Rattus norvegicus: one gene and its partner. The protein of the gene in region 1 interacts with the protein of each later gene in a pairwise test. Links are inferred from orthologs where the notes say so. Each region holds a gene or a part of one and is shown in the gene's direction. Other genes may lie near its edges.

The links. The genes of interacting proteins can lie anywhere in the genome.
Region 2: the proteins of Zgpat (region 1) and Cdca7l interact in binary tests that used the Homo sapiens proteins (3 or more experiments, as listed by UniProt). The two-hybrid records come from large-scale screens. The link is inferred for Rattus norvegicus from reciprocal best matches to the Homo sapiens genes ZGPAT and CDCA7L.

Annotation. Positions count from the first base shown.
Region 1 is NC_086021.1:188,850,750-188,854,461, forward strand, and holds the start of Zgpat (zinc finger CCCH-type with G patch domain-containing protein), read left to right. Parts: upstream 1-869; 5' UTR 870-1,004; coding exon 1,005-1,573; intron 1,574-3,712. Other genes in the region: Arfrp1 (ADP-ribosylation factor-related protein 1), read right to left, coding at 1-159, 566-724. UniProt on the Homo sapiens protein: Transcription repressor that specifically binds the 5'-GGAG[GA]A[GA]A-3' consensus sequence. Represses transcription by recruiting the chromatin multiprotein complex NuRD to target promoters.
Region 2 is NC_086024.1:144,975,240-144,978,888, forward strand, and holds part of Cdca7l (cell division cycle-associated 7-like protein), read left to right. Parts: intron 1-958; coding exon 959-1,315; intron 1,316-2,691; coding exon 2,692-2,763; intron 2,764-2,864; coding exon 2,865-3,035; intron 3,036-3,639; coding exon 3,640-3,649. UniProt on the Homo sapiens protein: Plays a role in transcriptional regulation as a repressor that inhibits monoamine oxidase A (MAOA) activity and gene expression by binding to the promoter.

The DNA of each region.
Region 1 (3,712 bases):
CAGGCCCAGGATCAGGATGCAGTATTCATCCTTCTGGAACATGTACTTGTACAGCCCGGAAAGCAGCGTGTACATCCTGTTTGGCACCCTGAGAGATGTCAAGGTGTGTACCAGGGTCATCGGCCTCCTGCCCGCTTCATCAGTGATCAGTCTATCCTGCTAGTTTTTAAATGAGGATCCTGACTCTCCCCCCCACCCCCTTCGGTTAAAAATCTCTGACCCTGACTCCACCCTTGCCCACCTGCTAAACCTGGGCCACTCCCACTTAAGGTCATCTTTCAGAATACACCATCGACCTGGAACCCTGAAAAGCCCGTGGCGGCCTACTCTACTCCGCCTTCCAAAGGATCCTCTTTCCGAACCCTCAACTCAGCGACAGGAAGCAGGGCCAGCGGACTGTCTAGGGAGCTACCAAAGAGGCAAAGCTTCTGGCGAGGGTCGGCTTCGGATTCCCGCCGCTGCTGGGCCCACGGAGACTAGGAACCATCTGCTGAAGCCACTTCCGTCCCCCTATTTCAGGACTCTAGAACCCCAGCTCCTCAATTCAGCTGAGGCCCACCTGTACCTGCTCAAATTTTGGAGGAGGAGCCGCCGCCACCGCGTTACTAACCCCACCGACCTCACGTTGACCCCTCACGGTGCCTGACGGAACGAGGATCGACAGACCCAGCACGGGCGGAGTCGCATCCCAGCGTCCCCCGCGCGCCGGTACTTCCGGCAGCATCGGCTCTCCGGCGGAAGTGCCAGCGGAGGGCGGAAGGTTAGCGCGTGAGCTTTGCTGGGGAAGCCGGAAACCCTTCTAGACTGCGACCGCAGTCAGGAGGTGGGGTTGCGGACGGCAGAGGACGGGGGCGGGTTAAGTGCAGGTCCCCTCGGCAGAGCCTGGGTCCTCCTCAGCCTTTCTAGCGGTTTGGGGGGGGCGGCGTTGCACTTAGCCCTTCTTACTGCTCTTCCTTCAGAGCTTGTCTGCCTTAAAGGTTCCGAAACCAGCCTTCTGGGTCAGGATGGACGAGGACAACCTAGAGACTGCCCTGCAGACCTACCGGGCCCAGCTTCAGCAAGTAGAGCTGGCGCTCGGTGCTGGCCTAGACGCTTCTGAGCAGGCGGACCTGCGCCAGCTGCAGGGCGATCTAAAAGAATTGATCGAGCTCACCGAGGCCAGCCTGTTGTCGGTCAGGAAGAGCAAGCTGCTATCTACAGTGGACCAGGAGCACCAAGAAGATGCTGAGTACTTGGCTTTCCAGAAGGCTATAGCGGAGGAAGCACCCGTTGACCCCGGCAATGACTCGAAGACGGTCCCTGGGAGCGAGGTGCAGCCGACACCCACCTCCTCTGCACTGGAGGAAGAGGAAGAGGACCCAGATCTGGAGGATCTGAGCGGTGCTAAAGTGAATGCCCCCTACTACAGCGCGTGGGGCACGCTAGAGTATCACAACGCCATGGTTGTTGGCGCCGAAGAGGCGGAGGATGGTTCTGCGTGCGTTCGGGTACTCTACCTATACCCTACCCACAAGTCCCTGAAGCCCTGCCCGTTCTTCCTGGAGGGAAAGTGCCGGTTCAAGGAGAACTGCAGGTAAAACCCTCTGCTACTAGCAATGTGGGACACGTAGTCAGGACCACCGCTGTGGCCTGCCGCCACAACTTTTTCTGCACCCTGCAGAGTTGATAATGAAGAGTCCGAGCTTCAGGTGACTGACAGGCTTTTACAGAAGTGTTCTTCGTTTGTCTACTTAGATTTTCTTGCATAAATCAAAAAGTTTGAAAGGGCTATTGTTGAAAGGATAGGGCAACCCATCATCAATATTATTCTCCAAGGTAAAACGTTTTTTGCTTTGAGATGGCAATGTAACCTCGGCTGTTCTTCAATTCCTGATCCTTCAGCAATTGTGCTAGATCCCGAATGCCTTCAACTTCCAAATGCTAGGATTACAGGTGGAGGCCACCACCACTTTTACTGGGCTACATCTTCAGCTTGGAACCTTTTTTTTTTTTTTTTTTTTTTTTGACTATGATGAGGTGGAACTAGGGCCTCCAGCACACCAGGCAGTCAGCTACTCTACACCTCAGTCCTACCCTCAGCTATGGGGAGCGTTTATATATAGTCTTACAGAACATTCAAACACATAACCTCTTGCTACTTTGCCTTTCCCCCTTGTGCTACCTTTGGCAAGTCACATCTTTTTCTCTCACCCTCAAATACTTCAGAATGTAGCTAAATAATAATTACTAAAACCTACCTATGTCTTTTTTTTAAAAAAAAAAAAAGATTTACTTGTTATATATAAGTGCACAGACACACCAGAAGAGGACACCAGATCCCATTACAGATGGTTGTGAGCCACCATGTAGTGGCTGGGATTTGAACTCAGGACCTCTGGAAGAGCAGTCAGTGCTCTTAACTTAACCAGAGTTATTTCTCCAGCCCCTATGTCTTTTTTTAACTCAATAATCCAGAGTAACTCTAGTGCTTTGAATTTATTTTAGGCCACTGAAATAAAAACAGATTTGTTCTACTATAATAGTAGTTAGTAGTGATCTAAAATTAGTTTCACTTGGCCAAAGGCAGGATTTTAAGCAGGGCTAGATCCTTGGAAGTCTGAGGGTAGAATCCAGAATCCATTTCTTTGTCCTTTTTTTTTTTTTAATTATTATTATTTTATTTTGACTTATTTATTTTTTTTACCTTTTTAATGTTTTTCTCCAAGGATCCATAGGTTTCTTTTGTTTTGTTTTGGTTTGGTGCAGGGTCTCTGTGTAGTCCTGGCTGTCTTGGACTACATATAGCTATGAAGACCTGACTGGCCTTGAACTCACTACCCAAAGGCTGATATTAAAGGTTTGCACCATGGCCCGGCTATTTTTGGCCGGCTATTTTTGGCTTTTTTGAGACAAAGTTTCTATAGTAGTCCTGGTGGCTGTCCTGGAACTTACTTTATAAACCAGGCTAGCCTGGAACTAACAGAGAGCCACCCGCTTCTGCCCTCTGAGTGCTGTGATTAAAGGCAAGCACTACCATTTCTGGCTAAGATAAATTTTTAGTTATGTGTATTTGTGTGTGAGTGCATGCGTATGTGTGTGTGTAGGGGGGTGGGGGGTGTGTACCTACACAATCTTCTAGCCTGAGAAAACTAGAAGAAGGTGTTAACCACTGAGCCGTCTCTCCAACCTCCAGAGACCAACTGTATTCCTTGGTTTGTGGCCTCCTCACATCGCTTTAGGCTCTTATTCCCACGTTACATCTGTACTCTGCACATCTTATTTCTTTACTTTGTCTTTAAAATGAGGTCTCATGTAGCTCAGGCTGGCCACACACAGCCATTTCTATATACCCAAGGATGACTTTGAACTCTTGGTCTTCTTGACTTCACCTTCAAGGGCCAGAATTGTAAGCAAGTGCTACCTATCTTGGCTGTGCACATCTTTTTGTTGTATTTCATGGTAGACCGGACATGTCCTTGCCCAATCTTCCTTTGCTAGCAGATAGGTGCATAAGTGATCTGTGTGCCCAGCAGGTTTACTTTATTTGTGTATGGACAGGGTCTCTCTGTTGTGCAGCCCTGGCTGACTAGAGATGAGTTTGCCTCTGTCTCTGGAGTGCTGGGATTAAAAGAGTGCTGTTGTTGTAAAATTAAATTAAAAACTGTCTTTTACCCCCCACTAGATCCAGCACCGCATTGCCCCAAGATCTGCTAGATATCTTGCCTGAAACACA
Region 2 (3,649 bases), on another chromosome or scaffold:
TTTTTAACTGATTCATAGGAACATCATGAGGCAGATGATTTTAAAAAGCATAAGTGTTTAGTGCTAACTGGAAAGTAGACTATTTGTCTGAAAATAGATAATACCCCTTCCTTTGCTGGCGAGGTGAGGCTAGCTTATGCCTATTCGATGTCATCAGCTTTTACACAACGCTGGACACAACCTGCAGGACGGTTGGTGGTGACAGTGGCTTTCTCCATTGCTCTCCTTCCCTCAGGCATCACTTAGGGCTTGTAAGTCCTGTGGTTGCCTCACCCACTCTGCTCTGGGCAGATGCTTCTGCTCAGACACCCAGTGTTTTTTCCCAGATGTTTCAGATTGTCACTAGAAAGACACGAAGACCTTCAAAACTTGATGGGTTTCATAACTAGGTGACTTCTTTAACTGCTAGTAGTTCTTTAGCTTGGTGATACCTAGTTAAGGAGTTTTTGTTTCTAATGAGGGGAAGTAAACTGCTCCCAAAGCCCCTCTTGCTTAAAATCTATATACTGTGTGATATATACAAATGTGTGTGTGTGTGTGTGTGTGTGTGTGTGTGTGTGTGTGTATAAAACTGTATATATAGAGAGATAGGTATAGATGCATGGATGGATGATGGATGGATAGATAGATGGATACACACACACACACACACACACACAACACACACAGTTTCAGGGTAGGCCTACTCACAAACTTCATTATTGAATGCATTGAGGACATATTGTACGAATCAGTTTTCCATCACTAGGACAGAATACCAGGGTCTATTGTCTGTGGCCCACAGCTTGAAGGTTTCAGCACCTCATCAGTTGGCCCTGTTGCTCTGTGTCTGTCCAGCGAGGCAGGAACATGTGGTGGAGCAAATTCTGACCTGTATTCCTACCTAGAACAGTCGCCTGGTCTAGTTTTGGTAGGTGATTACAGACTCTCTTCAGTCTCCTTTCTCCTTGTCCCTTAGCTCATAGAGTCAGAGCTGAGCGATGGTGACAAAACACATCCTATGATGAGTGACGAGGAGGACGATGATGATGAAGAGGAGGCTGCACCTAGAAGAGGCCGCCAGTCCACGAGAAGCAGTTTTGGCCTCCGGGTAGCCTTTCAGTTCCCCACCAAAAAAACGGCAAAAACGCCAGATAAAAATAGCCCGCACTTGCTGGGCGGCAAGACGGATCTTAGAAGAGAGAAGAGCTGCAGGCAGCCCAAGGAAAAGGAAGACTCTGCTTCTGACGCTGAGGACGAGTCGAGGGCTGAGAGCCAGGAGACTTCAGATGCTCTGCTGAAAAGGGCCATGAACATCAAAGAGAACAAGGCCATGGTACGCTCTCATAGCAGCTAGGACCATAGCCAGCTACCCCAAGGGTTGCTGACACAGCTTTGCTCTCTGAGGGAAAGTATACCCTGGGGCACATTTGTGTTGTGATTAACTCCGGTTTGGGGATGGAAAGGCTAAGGACCATTTATCCCTGCTCCAAGGAGGCAGGAGGCTGCTGCTCGTGGTTGAGCAGGCTAAGTTCTAAGTTGGCAGAGGCATTGGAGAGTTAGAGGGACTGACCCAGCTGCACTGTCCCCCGCAGAAAGAAGCAAAGAGTTGCTGGGCTGTCACCAAGCCCGGGGGAAATTGCAGTGGGCAGGTGGTGGCTTCTATCTGAAAGCCACTCTTCCAGAGACATCATCTGAAGGGATGAGAAATGGCCACAGTTAAAGCAGCCGCTGCCGTGTTCTGATTCAGTTACGCCTTGCCTGGTGGTTAGCTCAACCTAGAGCAACCTTCGTTCTGTGTATTCGGGTTTGCTATGTGCTCTGTGTCAGTAACTTAGCCCAATCATTGAAAGTAATTCTTCCTAATTTTTACACTGGCAAAATTAAAAAGAGATTCTACTGGTCATAATTTTCTTTTCTCTCCTCGTTGATGGCTTTTTAAATGCCATCCTTTAAAAAAAAAATGCACATTGCTGATACTTTATACACAGACCTACCCCTAGCAAATTAAGAGAACACAGTAACCTGTGAATTTTGTTTGTTCGGGATGGGAGTGCTCGGCTAAAGGAAATTTTAGCATTCTGTCTGTCTGCATTTGTTGGTATACGTGGCGGTTCTTAGTGGTGTCATGTTTAATATAAATCTAAAACCTGAAAATCCCGAGTAAAGAGCCTGGTTGGTTGGCGTTAGGTCTCTGAGGGTAGAGACAGATGTATGTATGTGTGGAGGTGGGAATGTCTGAGGTGCAGCTGCAGGGAGACTAGAGCGGTCTTGATCCTCTTGCCTCTGCATCCTGGTGCTGGAACTATATCGAGTAGCACCATTTAAGCCCCAGCAGAACTGGGAGTTCTGAGGGCCGTCCAGATGGTGGGTCAAGCTGATATTTGAGTTTCAAGTTTGTAAAATGTGCTCCGGGTCACACTGCTAAGATAGTGGTGAAATCAGGACCTGATGCTCCTGGCCCCAGACATGCCAAGGCAACCATGTCTTCCTTGTGTTCTGTTGTCTCTGTATATAAGGAAGGGGTGTGATGCTGACTCAGATGAACAGCGGCATCCTCCTCTAACTCAGGAGGTGAATTCTTACGTGAGGCTATTAAGTTACTGAGGTTTATGGAAGCCATAGTGAGTAGTTCGGAGACGTAGGAGAGGTGTTGGCTCAGACCTGTCTCCTTGACTGATGTCAGACCCCCCCTTTGTTTTTGAACCTTAGCTTGCTCAGTTGTTGGCGGAATTGAATTCAGTGCCAGATTTCTTCCCCGTGAGGACGCCACCCTCAGCTTCTGTAAGTTGAAACTCCTGATTTCCCAGACTGGCCCTGCTTCTGGGAACTCATAGCCACCCTCGGTTTAACTCAGCTCCATCTGTCTGTGCCCTTGGTTTTAGAGGAGGAGAACACCTCGACGGGCCTTCTCAGAGGGACAGATCACACGGCGCGTGAACCCAACCCGGAGCGCACGGCCCCCAGAAAAGTTTGCTCTGGAAAACTTCACCTTCTCAGCCACCAAGCTTACCGAAGAGCTTTACAGTTTCAGAAGAAGAAAGACAATCAGTGGGGTAATTATTGACGAATAAACAAATGGGCCTCAAGTGCAAGTATTTCACTATGCTGGGGCGGGCTGTGGTGGTGTCTTGAGTCAGCAGGCTTCCAGGAGTTGAGAACTTGAGTTTTCACCTTGCTCCTGTGAAAGCGTGCGTTGAAAAGACCCTTGGGCTAAGCTGCAGATGACTTAGGAGTCCTTTTGTCTAAAACAGAGCTGAGGACGTTGGGTGGCTCAGGGAGAGAGTACTTGCGCAGCATGCAGGAGTTTCTGGCTTTGATCCAATGCTTTACCAGCAGCAGCCAAGCCAGCTTTGCAGTTTTGTGCTATGAAAGATGCAAGAGTTCCTCTTGTCCGCTTCAGGAGTGGCTGTTGGGGAGGAGGGAGGAACTTGGGAGCCGCTCCATATATGGGCATGGCTGTTTACCTCCTTATCCCCTCCAAGTTTATGACTCCTCAGCCAATGCTGTCTTGATCTCCCAAGGGAGTGTGGGATGGGGCAAACAACCACACAGACAATAGAGACTCCGTAACCCTGCACTCTAAGCTTGTTTATTTTCATCCTGATTTTCAGTGTGCAGGTGTGTGACAGGCTCTCCTGGTTTTGTTTACTTCTTCAGGGGAAATGCC